3 linked regions of the Drosophila melanogaster genome follow. The gene in region 1 interacts genetically with each later gene. Each region holds a gene or a part of one and is shown in the gene's direction. Other genes may lie near its edges. The genes, in order: EloA, corto and trx.

Region 1 (7,776 bases):
TGAATGCTTGAGGGTTTTTTGGAAGTTGCCCGCTGCTCCACTTGGTGACAAATTGCTGAAATCTAGTCGAAGTGCGAATACGCTTTTGTTGTTTTTGTACGCAATGTAATGGAATTTTGTGACTGCAATGTAGAAAAACAAATAATATATTCCTTAAATCATCCCAAATGAAACAAATAAAAGTACAAAGAAAATTAGAAATATTCAATCATACATAGAAACATTTGATAATAAAATAAATCTTGCACAGCAATTAACTAATCGTAAACAAAACATTAATATAATTTCTTTTAAAAATATTTTTCGGCTAGAATAGATAAATTTGCTCAAAATTTAAGCCTTTATTTTAAGATCTATAACTTCGTTGCCCTCCATATCCTGGTTATTGGGCGTATCATTTGGATCCAACAAGTCACCGTCAAAACTGAAATCACCTCAAATTCAGTGGATTGTCTCTACTTTTTCCAGCTTTTAGTACTTACAACAATTTAATGGTTCGGGGATCACAGTTCAACTCCTCAGCACACTTAATAAATATGATTTTGAAATTATCAGTTTTCTTCATGGGTATCACCAAAGGATGCTTCCATTTATCCGCCTGTACTTTAACTTGAAACTTCTTAGGTTTCCGGCAAAGAGCTTCTGGATTGTAGTCAATTTTAGCAGCCACGTTGTTATTATTGTGACTCTTTGTTGGATGGCCAGCTGTTAAATAGTTGAGAAATTTTCAAATAATAATATATATCTGAATAGAGGACACCTACTGAGCGTATGAAATGATTTGAGACCAATGCTGTGCGGCGTATCCTCAGGTCCAACGAAGTTATAGTACATATCCACCGTTATATCATTCTCATCTATCCCATTGCGTGATGCTAACTCCTTGAACAGATGCTTAAACTTTTGGTGCTGCCGCAATTTATAAATCTGGATCTCGCCAAGCCTGCATAAAAATATTTATATTAATCACGAAAAAGGATAAATATATTAAAACTTACCACGACAAAGCTACTTCTATTGTGGGATTATCGTTATCAAAAATATTTTCTTCCTCTACGACAGGAGGAGCCTCCTTTTCACCCTCGTCTTCAGAGTCTAGATTAACCTGTGAAGAAATAAGTATAATATTAGCCTTATTGAATAGTACAACTTCTTTCTAGGGACTTACAAATCCCTCCACTCGGGGAGCGACCGCAGATACCAGATCAATACTGTCCACCACTTTGGAACGGGCTGCAACTTCGGCCAACGTCCACCGTCTGCTAATGTGCTCATTGTTCTGCTACAAATATGAAGAGATTAGAAAATACCCAAGATCTCTATTCGAAATTTCAAACATACACCTACAATGCTTGGCAATGAGACCTCCATCGAAGCAGAGTTGCTGGTTGTGGTTGTTAGAGATGTTCTCTTTTTTTGGCCGCGCTTCTTTGGTTTCGTCTGTGTGGGCACCTCCACAGTCGGTGAAACAGGTGGTGGCGCCATTTCTGACCTATTTAACGATGACCGTGTGCGTCTGGCCACAGGACCAACGTCATTTTCTTTGGCGTGCTTCTCCACATCCGATTGCTGGCCATTTTTCTTTTCCATCTCCAATATCAACAGGGATACCGGTGATAGGGAGCGCTCTGTTCTCATATCCTCTTCTGGCTCCACAGCCTTATGTTCTGCCTGTTTTGGTGGCGAAGCATCATCCTGACTTTTGGGTGGATTTTTCCGCGTCGCTGCAGGGTTCTTTCGTTTGCCAGTTTTAGTTGATTTCTTGGGGAGGTCTTCAATGAAATCGTAGTCCACCTCCTTGGAGAAGGAATCATTGCCAAGATTGTAAGGATTCTTGGGCAAAGCTGATAAAGACGACAAAAGCGAAGGTATGTGGAAAAACTTGGATTTCTGCAGTTTAAAGCTAACCTATTTCGGGAATCCGCTTGCGAGCAGCACTGAATATATCGCAGTCGTCGTCGGACATCGTGGGCACTCAGTAACAGTCAGTAATAAACCAATAACGGCGCCAAACAATAAACACAAACACAAAACCAAATAGACGCCACAGTGGTTGCAAGGAAAATCGATATCCGATAACTACTGTGACCAGGGTAGCCACACGACACGAGACCACGATCAAAGTATTTGCTGGTAGTCAAATGTAATTTACAATTCGATTTTATTTAATGTGTGTATCGATGATTTGGACATGTTAATTATTTGTATTATCACGATTGAATTCACTAAATGTTTGTACAAGCCTACTGTGACGTAGAGCAACTCTGGCCGACAGCTGTTTGGCCAGTGTTGACAAGCGCCACGCCGTCAAAAGCAAATCTCATTTAGTTTCCAACGCTGCTGGCCTGGCAAAAGCAAAAATCGAATGTATTATAATAAAGGCCCGTAATGCTATTGAAAATAACTTAGAGCCTCGCGACCAGAGGCTTTTCCGCGTGTGTGTGTGCACTTGTGCGTGTGCGTGTGTTTGCCCTTGGGTGCGTGTGTGTTTACCTGGATTCCCTAAAAAAAAATCAGTAAACTGAAAGTGAGAAAAAGAAAACGGGAAGAGACGACAAAGTCTGCCTGCGTGCCATTTTTTTCATTTCATTTTGCGTGGAATACTTTGAGACGACGCGATGGCCTCCACCAGCAATCTGCTGGACGTGGTGCGCCACTACCAGCGCAGCATTGAGAAGCACGGCGAGGACGAACAACGGGTGAGCTATTACCCTCATTGGCACCGCCATCGCATCCCTTTTGATCCACTGCTTACTGCCTTCCTATCATTCAAGTCCCCCATTTTCCTAACCATTTAATCACCCCTATGTACCTGACCTGGCTGGCTTTCCCTTACTTAACCTTGTGAAATTCGCAAACATATGTACCTCCGCCAAGGTCACTTTTCTCGACTTTAAGTCGCTCTTCTTTTCCGCTGACCTTTCACTCACACGGTCTTTTGCTAATCTTTCTTAATCACCTCTTTCGCTACCTGCTCTCCCGTCGAGCAGCTGCTGCACTGCATCACCAAGCTGTTCAACCTGCCGATCAAATTCGAGCACCTGCAGGAAACGGGAATTGGCAAGACGGTGAATGCCCTGCGCAAGATCAGCGGGGAAGTTGGCGTGGCGGCCAAGACGCTGGTAACCAAGTGGAAGGCAATGGTGGCGAAGGAGGACCCTTCGATCGCATCTACGCCTACAGCCATACATAACGAAGAGGACTCGGGCAAGACCAAGTCCAGCGACGAGGATCCCGACCAGGAGAACAAGGGCGGCAACTCATCCAGCGGCGAGGACTTGAACACCAGCAAGCACAAGTCAAAGCATGCCAAGAGCACCAAGCATGAGCGTAGCAGCAGCAGCCGATCTCACTCCAAGAGTAGGTCTGACTCGGATAAGAAGCACAAGAGCTCTCGCCACGATAAATCCAAGGATAGAGATAAAGATCGGGAGGGTCAGAAGGAAGCTAAGGAGCACAAAGAAAAGAAGTCAAATGGCGAGCACAAGTCAAAGGATTCCAGCAAATCCAGCAGCAGTCACAAGAGCAGCAAATCCGAGAGCCACAAGAGCGAACACACCAAAAGCAAGCACGAAAAGGTATGCTTTCCTCTTGATCAAAAGTGGTTATTGTTCTTATGCATTTTTTTTTCAGGACAAAACTTCTCACAGTGAATTAAAGGAAGTCAAAGACAAGTCGAGCAAACACAAATCATCGTCCTCCAAGTCATCAAAGCGCTCCCATAGTCCCCCACGCCACGAGGAGGAGTCCCAAAAAGCAAAGATACCAAAAGTTAAATCGAAATCTGAGGAAGATTCCGCTGATGGTTTTGACTCCAGCATGGGCGCAAATTTTGACGATGTTCTTGGTCTGCTAAACATACCCATAAGTAGCAAGAAGAGCAGCAGCAACAGCAAGAGCAAGTTTGTCGCCAAGCCAACTGCAGCCCCTTCCTCGTCAGCTCTATCAGCACCTACGACTGCTGGGTCATCTAAAGAGGCACTCTCAACTAGCAGTCGACCGACCTCCAAAGTAATTAGTAGAAATTCATTTTTATAAGTTGTGGTAACATATGTTTATTCTTTAGAAACCCGAACTGTTGGCATCCACAGCTAAGCTGGAGCCCTTGGATCCAAACATTGCACTAGAACTTCCCACCATATCCAATAACTACAAGCCCATGCCATTAAATCAGACAGTTATGGACGTCGTCTTTAACCAGGGTGGCTCACACAAGGCGCAAGCATCACGATACTTTAATGAGTCAGAAGCTCTAGCGCAGGGCATCTCTTCCAAAACTATGCGGTGAGCTAGGATATTATAATGTGATGCACAAAGTATATCAACTTTTTATACTTTGTAGCACCAAGATCTATTCGGGTGTGAGAACTGGTCAAATCCTGCAGGTCCCTTCCCTTTTTGATCTCTGCACCCGCGTGCTGCAAAAGAATATTGATGGTAAGATCTTACTAATGGTCATATCGAATGTAAATAACCATCTTAATTGTTTTTCAGCATTGGAGTATACGGGTGGCGTTCCGTTTGAGGTCCTACGTCCCGTTTTGGAGCGAGCTACCCCCCAGCAGCTGCTTAACTTTGAGGAGTACAATCCTTATTTAATGGATGACAGTGATGTCCTATGGCAACAGCATGTCCAACGTCACTGTCGCAGTCAGCGGCGTGAAGAGATGGAAACGTGGCGCGAAATGTTTTTGGTAGGGACGCAAAGACCCTAAATTAATGCAAACTAAACTAAGCTGACACAAAAATTTCGTTCTAGCGCTGCCAAGAGGAAAAGGATCGCAAACTTAGCATTCTGGCCGAGAGCATCAAGGCATCGCAAAAGATAAGCGAGGCGCCTGTGCGCAAGACGCAATTGGCCTTTGTGGACTCAATGGTGAAGCCGCCGCGTAGTGTGCAGCGCAAGCAAGAGCAATATGGCACCAAGGGCAAGCTAATTGCCACTCCAGCCGCCCGAGTGGCCGCCTTGTCCAGCGTGACTCCAAATGCAGCCAAGGTGGGCGATGCCCGACTACGTGTGCTGGCCGCTGCCAGGGACACGGCCCAAGTGGGTAAGTATTGTAATGATTGTGGTTAAGAATTAAATTTACCTATAATTTTTATTGAAAAGGGGCTGGACCAGCGCGATCGAAGAAGGCACCTCTAATGGCGAAGACCTTGCAGTTTATGCGCGGACGTCTCAAACGATAGATGCGCTTACTCATTATAGCTACAATCTTATACTCAACTTCTTCAGCGACAACTTAAGCAGCAGCAGTAGCAGCAACCTCGATCTATTAGGCATTCACGGTGGGATTACCTTCCAACTTTATTGGCAAAGACTTTCAGGTCTGAATAAAGTGACATTGTGATACTAGACCTTCTACTTCCCAGTGCGCTGTGGAATCAGACTGCTGCTGTCGGCATGCGTAGCATATGCATGCTATTTATTATTTATTCATGTTCTGCCCTCTTTTATTACGCTGTATAAGTCACTATATTTAAGCCAACCGGATAAAGATAAAGCTTTTGTTGCATCCCGCTGGGTCGTAGACAAGCTCATTTACATAAGTTATGATATTTGATTATAGTTGTTCAATTCATTGATTGCATGTAACTTACGATCAGAAGGCTGATCACTCCAACATTATTTAAAAATTAAGTTCAATGTTCTTTGTTCAAAAGGGCTGTGCGTATGTCCAAAATCATAGAGGTTCCAAGCTGTATATAAATGTATTTACACAATCCTAAACCTATATGAAACTACCTAAATTATTGAAGAACAGTAAAATGTCTCTTAATGCATCGCTAATTAAATTCAACCAAAAAATTCTATATTACCTTTAGATTTATTTAGTTTTGCACATTTTTAGGTATTGGGTAAAATGTTAATATATTAAAAAAAATCACTTCAACAATTGAAATTCGATTCGAATGCTCGTCTTATTTTTAATAGTTACACATTTTTCAACTTTTGTGGAAATTGGCCACTCATTACTTATGCCATGACTTCGTTTTGAAAGACATTCTTTAGCTGTGACCAGTAGACGATGCAGGTAAAGGCATTACACTGTAACCAACTCGTTTTATTCCACAAGAAAGCTACCAGGATTGTTAAATCAAAAGAATTATTTATATAAAGAATTGTTTCACACGATAGTAACAATAATATACAACTTATTACAAAATAAATTATTTTCAAACATAAGTCGTCACTAGAAAGTCTAAATTCGGGCTGAACTTTCAACCGTCTTCTTTAAGTGCCGATGCAGTAGAGCGTCTTGCTGGTCCCGTAAAAAACATCGACCAAGCGCTGGCAGGAACTATTGACAGTAAGCACACGATTCGTTGTAGCTGATGATGAGCTTCCAGCACTACTGTTGTCACTGTGGAGCAACCAAAATAAATCATCATTACCAATATTAACAAATTGCTCCGTTTCCATTCCACAAATATAACTAACCTCATGGGCGATAGTTTCTTGATGTCCCACAATCGCAAGGTACCATCGCTGCACGCTGTGGCCAGGTGCCTATTGTGCGTGCTCCAGGAAAGAGAACTAATGCTCGCCGAGTGATCCTTGAGCTCAGCCAGCTGTGCTCCGGCGGCCAAGTCGAATATACGCACCTTCGTTTCCTCTCCGGCGGCAGCCAACATCTTTCCATCTGGGCTAAACGCCAGCTGGGTCACCGCCTGACGGCAGTCGGCAAAGACACGCATCAATTTTCCGCTGGTTGCACACCACAGGCGAACGGAGTGATCTGCCGATCCTGTGGCTATGTAGTTGCCATTCGGATGGAACGCAACGCACTGTCAGAAAAAAAAAATATATATAACTAAAAGTTCAAAGACATTTTTGGTTAAACCAACCTCAACATCCTGTGTATGCCCGGCATAAATTATGAGCGCATGTTCCTTCTCTAGCGACCAGAGGCGCGCACTCAAATCCTTGGAACCCGTTACCACGTATTGGCCCACTGGACTTTCGTCCAAGCACCAAATTGGGTAGTTGTGACTTCTGTATATGGCGGCGCAATGCAGGTTGTGGGCACGCCAGCACCGCATGGTTGCGTCTTTGGACACACTATACATGAGTGGGTAGTGGGCGGAGAAGCGCACATCGGTGACTCCTTTTGTGTGACCTCGCAGCTGAAATCCGCCGTATTCGTTGCTAATTAGAAAAAAAAAACTTTAGTTGATTAAAAATTGAAAAATAAAACCAATACTAAACCTGGAAGATGAACTTACTAGGAGTTATCAGCATATTTGCAATGTCGCGCCCTGTTGCGTTCCCGTCTCTCCTCCTCAGAGCACTTGACATCCTCATCGCTGCTGTCCTCATCCGTCTCCTCCTCTTGATTCGCGCAATTGTTCAGCTCCCAGGGACACCGCTTTTGCGGATAGCGTCTGTAGAAGCTCTTGCCGCGGCAGTAGCTCTGGTTTAACTGCCACAGCTGTACGGCAGAATTGTCGAACCCGGCTAACATGTGGCACTCACTGGGATCCAGATGGGCGGAGGTGAGGCCCCGAGAACGTTCACTGATTCTGAGAAATCGCGGCAACTCCACCTGAGACTTGAGTATCTGTTCAGTGGCCGATTTAAGGGTGTCCAAGCAGGCGTCTATATTCAGTTGTAATTTACTAAGCTCTGCAGATTCATCCGTTTCTACCTCCTGTTTGATGTCTGTTTCTAGCATAATGTTTGGCTCCTCAGCGGGTCGTTTTCGGTTCGACTTTTCAGTGAGGGATTTGCTTGGTCTTATGTCTCCGCGGGTATTAAGGGTTACTGCTGGTTTG
Region 2 (8,578 bases), about 18 Mb from region 1:
ATGCCACAAGGGAAGAAAAGGAGGCAATCCGGGCAGCAGGGCGATGCAGCAGGCAAATATAAAAGGAGACGATGACAGAGATTAGAGAAACAGGAAATGTGGGTTGGACCGATTTAATGAGTGAATGCCAGATCCCAAAACAGACGGTCAAAAAAATGTCCTGGGGACAAACAAGAATGCTGAATGTTATCATAGAGCTGCCCTAAAATAATACAAATTATACATTTCACTGCTTCCGAGTTCGATAGTCGATCGTAGCCCCGATACAAAGAAACTCATTTTGTCCATGGCTTGCAGTAAGAGACTGCGAAAACTATGATAACTATAACCTGATCCTATCAAGTAGAATCTACTTGCAACTTACTTGAACTTATACCTGCAAGATGCACGTTCAGTGCAATACAGCGGAAATAAATAGTATTTTGACCAGTTATGAAAACACAAAGGGCGCATTTTATTGCATTCAGCCAACCCCACATGAGTAAACCATTATCTGTCTGGAATTTCTAATTTCGAAGTTTTCTATACCACTTCAGGCATTGTCGTCGTCTTGGCAGTTGTCGTTTTGTCTGTTGCCCCTCTTGACCAATTTCCTGCTGCCCGTTTTTGTTCGTTCTGGCCGTTCGCTTGGGTTGGGGTTGAGCCATAGGCTCTCCAGCAGAGCGACTGGCCCGCTAATTCAAGCAGTTCGGTAATTTCCAAATTGGCGGCCCGTAATCAAACTGTAATGCGGCCGACTCGTCATTAAGCACGCAAGCAGCAACATCACGGCAGCAACATCAATCCAGAAAGCAACCAAAGGCAGAAAAAAGCTGCAAAAAAACAGCACAGCAGAGCAGAAATAAGCACACAAAGGGACGCACGAGTGCAAAGCTGGCAGCTACATCAGATCCAAAACCCATACAAATAATACGGCGGAAGCACCAATAAAGAAAAGGCTTAAAAGCAGCAGCGACAGCACCATAAAAGTCGGCATAAAGCTACAACACTATAGTGTCGATATTAACCCAAACCAGACTCCAAAAACCATCCACAATCCCAGATGCAATGAAGACAATTCATTAACAAAACCATGGCAACAACAGTAGAAAAGCAGGAAATCATTAAGGCTATCAAACAATAGTATCCATTAACTTGTATACATGCACCAATCATGTTCTTTCTTAAGAGTCTTAGAATAATTAGCACATAATACGAATTATTAGTTTTTAGTAGACAATAAGAAGCATTAGTTTTACTTTTTGGATTAAAAGACATGCTTCAATGCAAATCCGCCACATAGGTTTTCATTTTACTTGCACATCGAATAGCAACAACACTGAAATGCAATGGCAACTTGACAGCAACAACTTTCAGCCCCACAACAACAACAGCTGCAACAGCGATTCCAACAAACATATGCTTTGAGAAAAAAAAAAACAAATATGTACCAAGAGAGACAGCCAGACTCACCAACACACTCGCACGCGGACACACCTCCCCAAATAACAAAACAGCTGATTTGTTATCAGCAGTTGCTGAATGAGCCCCACAGAGCGAGCCACTCTCTTGCAGCAACAACAAAATGGGGGGAAAAAAACGACGCCAACGGCGGCTGCTATGGCAACGACCTTCCTTATTTATTACAATGTGTGTAATTCCCAGCCGTTTTCTCACTCTCTCTCGCTCTCTCGCTGTGTGTGTGCGAGCGAGACAGTGCCCTTTCCTGACTTAAATTGCCCATTTTTTAGTACAGAAATGTTTAATATCGCTGTCTGTTTGAGTTTTTGCAATTTGTTTTCCTTTTTTGGTCTGCAGAAAGTCTCTCAGTGCGCAGTTTAGCTTTCGTATTCCAAAACCGGAGAGGTTCTTGGGGTATTTGTTGTATTCTTATATTAAGGAACTACGTAGGTGTGTTCGAAGTTGCGTCGCAGAGGATTTTTAGGCAGTTGTGTGGAGATCACACTGCTTATGTTGATATTATATGGGTTTTAAGTTTTAGGGGTGTACCAAAGTGCTCAGAAATACATAAGTAAAAATAACCCATTCCCATTTTAACCAGGTGATGCTGATAGATTCATTCAACTCCCCGTTTTTAGTGCGGCTCAATTAGCTCTCAACTCGCCGTTAACCCCTTTAGAACCCATCTGCTTTTACGACCCCATAAAGCTGCTCCCAAAAATGCGTTTGCCGTAAAAAATTAAAGCACTAAAACGGTTAAAGACATCGTATTACAAAATAATGTGCGCTCTCTCGCTCTTTTCTCGCCTCTTTGTCTCTCTCTGTCTCGACCAAAGCAGTTGTAAAGATGGCCGCCGTGTAGTAACATGGCTGAATGTATACCACACACACACACGCAGGCACAGAGAGAGCGGTCACAGAGAGGGAGAGAGAGCGGCCATTGAATGCAATTTATATAGGAAAGCAACAATAACAATAACTCTGCGCTCGTCTCCTGCGACTGTGTGTGTGCTGAATACGTCACGGAACATCAGCTGTGCCGAACAGCAGGTAGGCGTCGGCAGAATGGAGCGAAGACGACGTTTCGAGTCAGTCGCTTCAAAGAGCTCGATTCGTGCGGACATAGGAGGAGATAAAGCGTGGTCTGTGGCACGTAATTAACGAAGAAGAGAGTTAAGAAGATTCAACGTCGCGTCGAAGGTGAACACGCAGTTAAAACCCAAAAACAAACGCAACGCAGCCAATTGTGATACGAAAAATAAGTAAATCGGCAGACAATCAACAAAAACAATAAAAGCAAAGCCTACACACAGGCGTAGGCGTCTAGCCAACAGCTGTTTTTCGTGCGCGCTCCGTATTCAGCATACTCGCTGCGCTTACAAACGTCGGCAGAGACCGCGGCAGAGAAGCAAGCGGCGGCAGCAAAACTACAAAGCAGAAACTACAATTCAGATCGCGTTTTTCTTCGGAGTGGATGAGACGTTCGTTCGGCAGTTCTATTGCGCATAGAACTAACAAGTTACCTACTCCGCGAACTCACCCCCGCGAGAAAAGAACAGAACAGAGCATAACCGAATGGAAAGAAGACAAGGAGTAGCTAAAAAGCAACGGTTAAGTTAGCCAGCAAAAACGGGCAAAAAGACTGAAAACACACGTGGATTGTTCACTCACCCCGACACGCGCACCCACTCGCACTCACACTCACCCAGCAGCTCCAACTGTTCGCTGCATTTATGTAAAACCAAACAAAGACTGACTAAAACGCTAATAAATATACAATAAACGTAACGAAACAAAGTTAAACACGCGAACAGCAGCTAATATTATACGGGTTAAAGCGAATTCCAAAGCAAAGCAAACACACATATGGATTAAGGTTCCTCCTATCTCAAAACACAAAAACAAAAGCAACAACCAACTCACGGATTACCTGCAGCGGCAAATTTACCGTTAGCCGCTCTTTTTGGATTACCAGTGCCAATAAAACCACAAAAGTGAATTTTTTCGAAAGTGAAGAAAGCGAAAAACATCCGCAAAATGATAAAAATCTAAATCTAAGTAAATAAGCAAACCAAAAGCGAATTCTGTGTTACCGAAACGAGAGCAAAAGCTAAAAGATCCCCTGAATACAGCAATGACGATGGCCGCCTGTTATGCCAACTACGACATGTCGTCCCTGTCGCACGGCATGTCGGCCCTGTCCGCCCTGCAGCAGCAACAGCAGCAGCAACAGCAGCAGCACAGCCAGACGCAGCAGCAGCATCATCACCAGCAGCAGCAGCAACACATGTACCACGCCGCCGTGGCTGCCCACCAGCAGCAGTTGCTGCAACAGCAGCAGCAGCAGCAACACCACCGCCATCACCACCAGCCCGCCAACACCAGCAGCAGCAGCAACTCGCGCCACAGCCATGCGGCGGCGACCCAAACGCAGGTCGCCGCCGCGGTTGCCAACAGCAGACAACAACAACAACAGCAACAACAGCAGCAACAGCAGCAGCAGCAGCAGCAGACTGCCAGCAGCAACAGCAACGCAGCCCCCGCTCCATCGCCGCAGAAGGACTACAGCATCCCGCTGCACGTGGACTGCAGCGTGGAGTACGAGCTGCCCAACCAGCCCAAGCCGCCGGCGGGCCAGAGAGTGGAGCCCCTGCTGATGATCCACCCGTGCTACTTCCGCAAGATGGAGTCGCAGCGGCGCAGCCCGTTCGTGAACAACATGCATGCGACCGCGCGGGCGGTGAGCAGCAGCTCGCTGAGCAGCGGAGCGGCCCTGGGCGGAGGCGGAAGCGGTGCGGCGGTGGCCACGGCGCCCAGCAGTAGTGCCGCGCGGCGTGGAGCCCGGGCGGCTACGAGCGCCCAGCAGCAGCAACAACAGCAGCAACGCTACCAACAGCAACAGCAGCAACTGCGGCAACAGCACCAGCAGATGTCGCAGATGTCGCAGCAGGCCCACTATCCCCAGCAACAGTCTAGTCTGGTCCGCCAGCACCAGCAGCAGCAACAGCAGCAGCAGCAGCAGCAACGTGCCAGCAGCAACCAAAGCCAACGCCAAAGCCAAAGTCAGAGCCAGAGCCAGAGCCATGCAGCCAACTCAGCGGCGGCAGCTGCGGCCCAGGCCTCGATAGCCGCCGCAGCCGCCGGCCAGTGGGATCAACTGGCTGCGCTGGCCGCCCGCACCGCCCTCACGCCGCACCACATGCTGCATCCCCACAGCCACTACGCGGCCAAGGGTAGTGGCGGCGGAGCAGGGGGCGGGAAGCGGGACGCCATGATCTCCGGCAGCTACGGACAGACGGCGGTCGCCTCGGGGAAGCTGCAACAGTCGCAGGTGCAGCAGCAGCAGCCACAGCAGCAACAGCAACACTGCCTGCCTCCGCCGCCGTGGGACGCGACGTCCATGCTGATGGACCGCTCGCCGATGGCCACAGTTCCTAGCAATTATCAGGCCGGCCCTGACACCAATCCCATGCGCCTCTACTCGGCCACGCCCACCGCCGGAGCGGCCTCGGGCGGGTCGGCGTCGGTGGGCGGAGGCGGGGCGGTGAGTGGTGCGGGGGCGACGGGAGCAGTGAACACGGCCACCGACAAGTTGAGCGGAAAGTACCGCCAGTACTTGCGGTCCCAGCGGATGCACCCGTACGCGGCGGCCGCCTCGCTCAACTTGGCAGCCGCCGCCGCTGCCGCCGGCCAGACCTCGTTTGTGCCGTTCAGTTCGGCGGCCACGGCGGTGGCGGCCACGCCCACATTCCAGCACCTGCCGCAGATCTCCTGCTACAACGTGTGATGCAGCACCAGCAGCAACCAGGACAACGGCAACATCAGCAGCAGCAACAGCAACTTGCAACACATGAGACAGGCGCCTACCAAGTACGCGTCGATGAAATAGCCGCCTCAAGGAATAATTAATAGATCCTCCCCTAAAACAGTACTATATATACACACCCATCAAAGCTTTTAGAATCAAAAGTAATTAACTCTAAAAATATTAAGAGATGAAACAAAATTCTGTCTAGCTGCTATGAGAAATTGTTGTCCGACGGTGAGAAAAGAGGAAATGAGCGATCTTTTTTTCTTTTAGTAATGGTAGTAATTGATAAACGATACAAAAACAAACAACAACAAAAAAAAAAAATGCAAACTATTGTAGTGATATTTGTTATAAAATAATTTTAGTAATTAATTTAATTTAAATTAAACAACCAACAAGAAACAACAGCAACCGCTCTGTGTAAGCCAACCACATAAACAATAACAACTGCAACAACGGCAAAAACAAGAACTGCAACAACAACAACAACGGCAGCAACATTAAACAAAACAATTGCTAAAAGTTACACATACGCATATTTAATTACAAATCAGCAAAATGTTACAACAACCATTTACCGAAAGAATACGAAAATATGAAAGGAAAATTATTACCAAACGATGGAGAGAGAAGAGTAAAGCAGAAAAAAGCAACACAAAAAATACGAATAAAAATTATTCAAAATTATGCAACGTAATTTGAAGCGAGATATGCAAAAATTAAGTAAATTGTGTTTTCAATTAACGTAGCGAGCAAGAAAAGCATAGTTCAAGTGATTTGGCCGCGGCAAGGAAAACTCCCCTTGCCGTCGGCTTTTGTGGCCAACTTTTCACACTTCCCACCACCACCGACCGACTAACTCCTCTTTCTGTTCGCCTTGATTCGATTTTCATCTTCGCTCCCTTTGTTTCCTCATTCTGCTCCGCCTCATGGCCTCCTCCTCTGCGGTGAGCCGTGATTGATTATTGTCATTGATGGAGGACCGGGCAGCGGGTTGGGGTGACCTCGGCGCACAGCACAGGGGTCCCTCGCTAATGGCAAACCGTTGAGCTGAGACGAATTTCGAAAACTTACAGGGCTCCGATTTATGGCTAGACATGAGGACGTCTCTTGAAATTTCACTATTAATATCTTATACTTAGATACTTATATACTATTTAATGTATTTGAGCCAGCTGTTGAAGGACTAAATCTGGCAACACACTACGATATCGAGAGATGTTGATTTCCACTCTATGTACATATATGTGTTCCACGACGTCGGTTATTTCGCTTTTACGCCTTTGTTTTCGATTAGAAGTTTAAATACGTTCTTGTTCACGCCACCAGCGGCCTCACTGTACTTACCTTTCAAAGACCAGCATTCTCGAAGTTCATTCGTTACAGTGATATAACCGAACTGCCTTTGCCTTCAGTGCTTACGGCTCTAATTTTGGTCTTTGTTGCGAGGTGAAAACGCAGCAAAATCTAATGGTTTCGAGTGGCCAGGAAACGCGAGATGTTATCAGCTGAAATTGTTTTTGCTCGCCCCCAAGGTCCCTCGGGAAAGTGTGTGCTTTCATTACTGATTGCATGTCGAGGCGATTGGCGCGGTTCCATGGGAGTTGCTGGGTTCCGGAAAGCAAATAGCTGAGTAATTTATGCATGGGCAGGAAAACCCGCTGAGGATTCAGCGCGCCATTAAGCCAATCGTCGAATTAATTAAGCCAAAAAAGAGTTTTCAACTGAAATGAACGACATCCGCTGCCGGGGGACCGGCACTGACTCATCTGTCCGCTTTAGGCTGCCCTACATCCAAACAAGTCCGACTCTACTCCACGACCATGCGGTCGCAATCCACTCGAGATTCAAGAAAGAAAAGACTTTAGTCCAATTGCAGAACGACGGAACCATTGCAGGAATTTGTGGGACCAGTTTAGACGCATCGGTTAGTCGAAGAAATGGCCAGACCACATATTAATCCATAACTTATTCAACATACAAGTCATTTCATTAGGAAAAACATTATTTAGGGGAGCTTGACTTTTATTCATCTGCTGTGAATTGCATTTAACACATAAATGAATCTGATTTAGAGCACATTTGTATTTCTCCATCCTTCGTGGAAGCCCATTCAACAGCATCTGTTGCAAGAAACCTTAGAAATCACTCTCCACTGGGCACTTTCCATATATAGTAGTCCCGCTTGCACGCCCAATCTAAACAAGCCACTGCTTCCTGAATGGTGCCGCACTCTCCGCGGGATTCATCTATTCACTTATTCAATTCATATTAAATTGGTCGTAGATTAGAGACGGAAAAATATTTCAATTGCCGCCGGCGGCATTCACACAAGTGTAATTAAAATATACTGGAGATCGGATCCAGCTCCAGCTGAAAGCGTCGGTTGTTTGTTTTCATTTCGTTTGAGCAATCAACTATCAGCTGCTGGGGCCATTTGCATGCGGCTGGGTGAGTGATGGCCCCTGTAACCCACCGCCCCACCGCCCCAATTCGAATGCGAGGTCATCGCCATTGTCGTCACTCATCCGCCCCGTTGCCGCGTTAGGCAGGTGCCGCTCAGCTCGGATCGTCTCGTCTCGTCTGGGATTACTAAGCTGCACTTTGGATTCACACTCGTATCTGATGTGATTACTGTTCCATGTGTGGGCATCGCAGATAATGGCCAGTCCCTCGAGTTCCAAACTAGAGTGCTTTCGTTACTCGACAAATTTCCCCATGTCTGAAAATGAGCTCAGTGATCAAGTGGTTACTTCGAGGGCTGTTAGTTTTGTGGTTTTTTTTTTTTTTTTTTTTTTTTGTGGATTATCTTACTGCAGGGATTGTGGTACCCGCCTAGATTCCCCAGTTAGTTTTTCAACAAATTCGGACTACGTCCAAGACAATGTAGCAAATGGGTACAATTTGAGATTGGAATAATAGGAGCATACTTAATTGCCATTGCATAATATAATTACGAAGGAACACTTTAACTCGCAAATGGATGGTTATAGTCGGGAGCCTCGATTTCCCTATCAGCAATTCCCACATACAGATTTAATTAGAGCTTAAAAAACAATTCGAATGAATACCACTTAAGAGTTAGCAGGTGACTCAATTGACTCGGCGCTGTGAAACGCGAGTTCCATGTCCATATTCGATTAGCCGCTTAGTCCGACTGAATGCAGGCCTTTTGGAGCGGGATAGGTCAACTAAAAGGTTTTCTCCTTTAATTGACTTCATTTGGTAGTGTTTTTTTTTCTTTTTTTTTGCCGACGGGCGGGAAACAGCTGCCATTTAAAAGTCATCAACGGATAAATAAACCCAAACCGAATCGGCGGAAGAAAA
Region 3 (6,955 bases), 9.0 Mb from region 1:
CATTCGTGATATTTTGCCAGTTGACTTTTTGTGTTACTTTTTATCTAGAGGAAAAAAATATCCATTAACTTGTAGGATTTTTCTTGTTATAATTCCAACTGCCGTCGTTCGTGTTGATGCTGTTACTTAAGTTATTAATTTGATTGTTGCTGCTTCTGTGGGACAACAACGAGCAGCTTTTGTTTATGGTTTCTCTAGTTTTCCATCGCCTTGTTTTTTTGTTTTGAAACAATACAAATGAGTGAGAGGAGCAGCGCAGATCACCGAGTGTGTAAATACACACAATCGAGGCTTTACGTTTGTCCCATGGCAACGACAGTAACCGTTCTCTAACTTAAGTAATTGTTGTGCATATATTTCACTTAATAGCAACTCTTCTTTTTATAATATTTTTGTTTATTTGTGTGTATTTCTATATATTCATCTTTTCGGCACTCACAAACACAGATACAAAAGCGGCAACGACGACGACGGCGACGACAACGCGATATATTTTATACGTTTTTTTCCAGCTTTTTCGCCGCTAAACGAAGGCACTAACTAAGTGAACTTAGCCAAAACAACTAAGAGCGCAGCAGGCGAGCGACCAACTCCAAGCAGCACTCAAAAACAAGTGACTGCTGAAATGACTGGCGAACAAGCGACGAGCGACGATTCTCCGCCGCCGGCGAGGTAGACTCTCTTCCAGAAGACTCTCTTTGGGCGTTCAGCTGGGCTCTCGGCTTTCGGTTTCTTCGGCTGGAATTGAAGAATGGCATTATCGCGCACTGGAAGTGCACACAAATACTCATTCGATTCGTGGATGTTGGTTTACTGCCTCCACTGCTTCCACTGCTCACTTCTCCAACCTGGAATTACTTTTCCAAGTACTCACCATAGGGGCCATACGAATTCGTTAGATGATTGTGCCTAATTCGAGTGATAATGGTGATAGCAAACACGTTGGACTAGCCAGCAGGGAAAGAGAATATTACAGGCACAGTGGTTGCATGGTGTGATGAACCATCCGAGTTTTACTTTACTTAATTTACTTTCCCACTTCAGATCACTCATACGCAGTGGTGTCCCTTACAAAAACCATGTTTTAACTGGATGTTGATTTTATTAGATTAAATTGATTAAATTAAGTTTATTAGATTTCATGACAATAGCTTGCATTTAATAATCTAAACTAAAATATTATATAGATGGCACACACTGTACGCAAATAATCGTATGTATGTAAGTATGTACCCGCAAACTTGTGATAATCATTTAAGCAGCTCTCTCTGTTTTTCTGGCACTCATCTTGATTATTAAATGATAACTGGATGACGGCGACAGGTGCACAAGTACAATGATTATCAAGCTCCTCGCGTTTTCTATTAGGTTTTATTGTTTTTTTTTTCCCGAGTTCGTCATAGGATTAATTAGCATGCATGATAAGCCCACGATCTGTGGAGGAATCCCTTTTTCAGCGATGAGCTGGAAATTTTCCAACCAACGCGGACGTCATCGTTTGCATTGCAGATTGCGGTAAAAGTTGAAGAACTATTTTTGGAAATCCGGTGATAGTGGCTATACGCCCGCTGCTTCTGCTGCTGCTGTCAAAACAAGACTTTCATTATGATTAGGCCAACGAATTCGTGTTGTTTGCGGCCCAGATAAGCGCCGAATGACTGTCACAGTACAAGGTAATCCATGTTAGATATACATATATTGTTATCGATACCCCTTATCACTGCGCACCTAAACGGACCGACTAACCATGAGGTGCGGAATGCGTCAGCTGCCAAAAACAAAGCTCGATCTGCCCGTGTTGCCAATAGCTGATAGTCCAAGTTACAAGGAGTTGATCAATTTGTTTATGTTTTCGTGTTTAATAGAAGGAATGCCAGGGAAATTGATTTAGTACCTATTATTAGCATTCATTTGAATTATTTCATTTACTAGCAATAATGGTTGTTATGATTATAGTTTCATTATTATTACTTTTTTTATTTTATTATATTATTTTGATAATATTTAGTTATTTATTATTTTTATTTACATAAGTAATTACTAAATTCAGGCCACAACTATTAACACGTCCTTCTTGGTGAACTTTCTATACTAATAAGGTTAATTGCAATGCCTTTTTGTGAGATAACATCTTCTGAATGTGGGTTACCATTTTTTGTCACTGAACAAGAAATTTACAGGCGCTCAGTGATTCAATTTCCTGCGAATTTTTTGTTCACTTCGGTGAAACGTCGTCGAAATGACGTCGATTTAAGCCACCGAATTACCGCCCTACGCTTCTCGCCCGGCAACAGTTGGATTTACATTGTGAATCAAATATGTGCTAATTGAGCGGACACGTTCGATTCGTTGACCAAAATCTATTTGTTTACATCGCGCCTTGCGAATGCATAAAGCCTTTGGGTGTCTTCCCAAAAAATTGGTTAATAACTTTGGCAAAGAACCAAATGCGAAGTGGACGCAGCTGACAAGTTGTTTATGTGTGTCCGCACATTATGGCTTCATTATGAAATCGCAACTAATCCGAACTTCATATACTGGCATAATGGAATTGCCAATGAGGTGATTGATATTTGCCACTTAGAATGTGGACTAGGAAAATCTCCTGTTTTTTAAATTGTTTACCGAAGCGGTTTCTTTTCTTTCCTTCTTTCCCAATAAGATACCGAAGGGTACTTAAAAATTATATTGAACGGAAAGTGTGATAATATTGGATATTCAAAAATTCAAGGTTAATGTGTTTTGTACACTCCATTCTAAACATTTTAATTACCACAAATTAAACAAATTAGCAGTTACACCGAAAGTGGTTTTAAATTTTGAAAAATACTGTTTTGTAGCAATACGCTTTTGTCTTTGAACTAGCAGAGACACATTCCGTATTTAACCAAGACACACACCCCGCAGAGCAGAGACACCCTACTAAAATATCGGTGTGACCAGGTCTGCACACACATGAATTTATTTGTAAGTCTCACAGTATTTTTTATAGTTATCGGCGCGGTCACACTGTCCGGTCGTTTTGCTTTGCTATTTCCATTTCGCTCGTCGAAAAAACGCAGAAAATGTGGAAAATAATTGATAAACTGTGCTAAATAGTGTGTGTGAATATGGTATGCAGTGTCTGCCAATGAAATTACATCGAATTTGTGGCGTTCAATTGTTAAAAAAGTGTGAAAATCGAGAGCAGAAAACCTGATTTCTGTGAAGAAGAAGCAGGCATTTTTCATCGTCGTAAAACCCATACATACAGACACCCGCACACACACACACGCGCATACGTAGCAACATATGTATATACGAAACGCGCGGGCGCGAGAGAGAGAACGAAATAGCAAGAGAGCGGGCCATTTCGGTTCGTGTGTGCGTGTACCTGTGCGTTTGTTTTGTGAGCGCAGAGCGACAGAGTGAGAGAGCGGCGAATGTGAGAGCCAAAGCAAAAACCAAGAAATAAGTGAACGAAAATAAAAACGAAAATCGCAATCTCCACCCCTGTATTTTGTGTTTACTAGTGTTTTGAGTGCGTGTGTTTCTGTCCCGTTTTGTTGTGAAATTGTCCCAAGTGTGGATTATTTTCGTTTTCGTATTATATTCGTGCACCAAGGATGCCAAATGGTAACAACAACCCCTGAAACGGTATCGAATCTCAATCTGCATCTGGATACACGCTCGACAGCAAGGTAATTATAAGATCGCCGCGATAAAAGGCGTCGCCGGCTGCCGATGAGTCAGTCTGCCGTGAATATATATCAATGGATATTTGCGCACATATATAAGCATGCCAGATATTGATTTGGAATGCACCCGGAGATACTGTACACCATTGCACACCACATCACATTATCATATCCCATCCCGTCGATTTCATATTCATAAAGTCCCCACTAACCTTTGTAGACCTCTAGTCAGTAGTTTAGATTGTTGTTTTTAGCTAGAAAGAATAGGAAAGTGTCGTTCAATTATTCACTCGATAATGCAAATTAGGCTGCACAACAAATACTGTTAGTTTATGGCCCACGCTGCGATTTATGTCTACAGTGGGACCTCGTTGAGTGCGACTAGCAGCAGATGGTAGCATTTTTGATTTAGTTTTGTTCTATTTTGTAGTACTAGTAAGCAAGTCTTGTTTCTGGAAAACCTGTTGATTTAATAACAACTTTCTTAACAACGAATTCATTAGTTAATATTTTTATTTTAATCTAATACTAACAGTTTAAAGAGGAGGCGAAATATTTTTTGCTTAAAATAAGTACATCTATTATCATATAATCATATGACTCCTGAAGTTAATCCATCAAATATTTCATTCTTATAAGAAACAATATTATTCGTTTTCTGTTAGCCAGGGGGATTTTACTGCAAGTTTCCATCTACGACGTTTTCCATTATTTACCACCCGTAAAACGAACGGTAAATGACAGTCGCTAACACACCCACACACACAGCGGCGAGCTATAATAAAGCATCGCCGATAAATAAAACTTAATGTGTGACCAGTTAATTGCTTTTGTTGTCGCCTCATTCTAAATCAAATCACTCTCTCGCTCTCACCGTCTCTTTCTCTCTCTCTCTCTCTCTCTATTGGGCTCACATGGCCAAAGTGTTTGTATAACTAAAATTGCTGTTTGTTTTGTTGCTGGCGCTGTTGAAACTTTTAATAAATTATACAATAAAATGAAAAACGATCTCAGCAGCAGCAGGAGCTAAATCGATTGCCGCTGCCGTTCGCTGCCTAGAAGCTGTTGAATAATTACAAAATAAATATATGTACTTGTACATTGGCTGTTTGAGTATTTGTTGACGCCATTTTTTTATTTGCCATCAAAAAGGCAAATTCCAAATCGGCTAGTGTCGATGCCTGTGTGTTTGTGTGTGGGAAACTACGCGCCAAACAACATTGAGGCGCAAAATCGCCAAATGAGTAATTGCGCATATTAAAATTCGCCTTTCAAAAGTCGACCAACTGAGCCGTAAGCTAATGCGAGATCTTGAATGGGAATGAATATGCGATGCGGGCCAACCGATGCTCATCCGAATGCATTTTCACGCTCCACTGCGTCCGCATCTCGTCGATCACGCCTCACAGAATCATTGCACATTTGAATTCGGATGGGTCTACTCACAAATACAAATTTTAAGATCATTTGATGGGACATTTTCAACGGGTTTAAATTAAAATATCCTTGTTTACATAATTCCTATTGTAAAATCGAAAAAAGTCATTTGTTTATTTGTTCTTCTTCTCCAAGATAATCTATTTTCTAAAACATGAGCACTACAATGCTTCGCTTAGCGAGCGATCACTGTAGGTGTGATTTCTATTTGCTTCGGTGGCCGAATTATTAGTTTGCATTGTTGCTACCAGCTAGCTGTATTTACACCTTTATTTACAGTGCGTTTTGAGAGGCTGCAGCTGCCAGCTGAGTTGAATTTATTTTACCTTGTGTTTCGTTACCTTTTACCACCACCACCAACACACAGCATAAACACCACGAAACCAGATGCCCACACACGCAAACAAACATTCGCGTACAAGTATTTAGTTCATGTTTCGTGGCAAATTGGACATCAAAATTGCGAGCTGCCAAGTCGGCTCTCAATATTCAATGCCCAATGCTCATGGCCCACAGAGATACAGATATCCATCCGACCATCTCTATCCATCCATCCCAACACCAATCCATGCGGCACCCACACCACGACACCTTTCGCACATTTATTGGCGCGCACATTTTTCATGTTTCACCTTTGGCTGCGTGTTTTGATTTACAAGCAAATACGGTGTATGTGTGTGTGCACAAGCATACAAACATACACTCCCCCGCGTGTGCTCTCTGCCGCTCTTTTTGTTTTTGGGGAATGGGGCTCACGCTCATTTGTTGATTCCACCTCTACAGCTGCTTTCTCTGGGCTCTCTCATTGTTGTACTGAGAAAAATTTTGCGGTTAATGTTGCCAATTATTGATCAAATAATTATGTATTAATTCAAAGAATATTTAATAAGTGGAGTAGGAAAAGTTATGGAGTGACTGTGGGGCTTAAAATTCATTTAATTTACCTCCCATTTACGATCATTTTTTTCAGTGATCATTTATAAACGACATTTTGGAATAATTTCATACAAATTTACATATTTTATGTGCGAGGTTGACTTCGATTTTTTCCAACTTGTCAATCGAGTTTGTGCAGCAGTGTGTGTGTGGCATGCAGATAGTTGTCTATTTGGTAGCTGTTTGTGTTGTATGTAAGTTGTTGTGATTGTCGTGCTCGTGTTTATGGCTTTAATCGTTTGCCAGTCGATTCGTTACCTGACTCTCTCTCCCTCTCTTTGACCGGGCCCCCTCCCACCAGTCTCCTTCTCCCTCCCACTCATTTGCCATCTCTGTCTGCTCTCGTGTGCTTGACTTTAATCTTCTCAATTACTCGCAATTTGCAAGTCTTGTGCTCGCCCCTCTTTGGCGGTTATTGGCATGCAGTGCGACAGAGACGGGGCTATGTGTACTGGGGTTTACTGGTACACAACAAAAAACGTATAATTAGATGTCAATTTTAATCAATTAAGCAATTTACGAGCAAGTTTTCATATCACTTCGCAGCTCAGACGAACATACTTATCATTGTGAAATAAAGTGGCATTATTTCGACATGCTGTCATCCGATTGATTTGATATGGGATTTGTTTTTAAACTAGATCTATTTATAGGTCAATAATGTTGGGAAAAGGTTTATAATCTGCTGCCAATCTCAGCAATCAATCATATTGCAACTCAAAAAGCATTCTTATACTTTGATATACTCTTCAAATCGATGTACATTATTCAATTAAAATATTTTATCTAATTTCGTTAAGTGCTCGTATTCAGTTTCATTTTGGTGGCCCATTCTTCTTATTCAAGTTATTTTACCTTTTGCGCTTGCTTTGATTTCTTAATCTTTTTACCATAATTGATGGCAA

The links.
Region 2: of EloA (region 1) and corto, changing one suppresses a phenotype caused by changing the other (phenotypic suppression), as found in Drosophila melanogaster (one study listed by BioGRID).
Region 3: of EloA (region 1) and trx, changing one suppresses a phenotype caused by changing the other (phenotypic suppression), as found in Drosophila melanogaster (one study listed by BioGRID).

What each region holds. Positions count from the first base shown.
Region 1 is NT_033777.3:23,249,259-23,257,034, forward strand, and holds EloA (elongin A), read left to right. Parts: upstream 1-2,304; 5' UTR 2,305-2,618; coding exon 2,619-2,699; intron 2,700-2,990; coding exon 2,991-3,578; intron 3,579-3,633; coding exon 3,634-4,011; intron 4,012-4,066; coding exon 4,067-4,284; intron 4,285-4,342; coding exon 4,343-4,437; intron 4,438-4,494; coding exon 4,495-4,694; intron 4,695-4,759; coding exon 4,760-5,051; intron 5,052-5,110; coding exon 5,111-5,190; 3' UTR 5,191-5,813; downstream 5,814-7,776. Other genes in the region: Rad60, read right to left, coding at 334-424, 483-705, 765-943, 999-1,105, 1,169-1,282, 1,342-1,844, 1,909-1,966; wda (will decrease acetylation), read right to left, coding at 6,236-6,365, 6,443-6,789, 6,850-7,150, 7,228-7,776. UniProt on the Drosophila melanogaster protein: SIII, also known as elongin, is a general transcription elongation factor that increases the RNA polymerase II transcription elongation past template-encoded arresting sites.
Region 2 is NT_033777.3:5,081,022-5,089,599, reverse strand, and holds the start of corto (corto), read left to right. Parts: upstream 1-2,527; 5' UTR 2,528-3,574; coding exon 3,575-5,227; 3' UTR 5,228-8,578. UniProt on the Drosophila melanogaster protein: Essential protein required for proper condensation of mitotic chromosomes and progression through mitosis. Binds to specific polytene chromosome sites, many of which are shared with the posterior sex combs (Psc) protein.
Region 3 is NT_033777.3:14,282,934-14,289,888, reverse strand, and holds the start of trx (trithorax), read left to right. Parts: upstream 1-2,985; 5' UTR 2,986-3,680; intron 3,681-6,955. UniProt on the Drosophila melanogaster protein: Histone methyltransferase that methylates 'Lys-4' of histone H3 (H3K4me). H3K4me represents a specific tag for epigenetic transcriptional activation.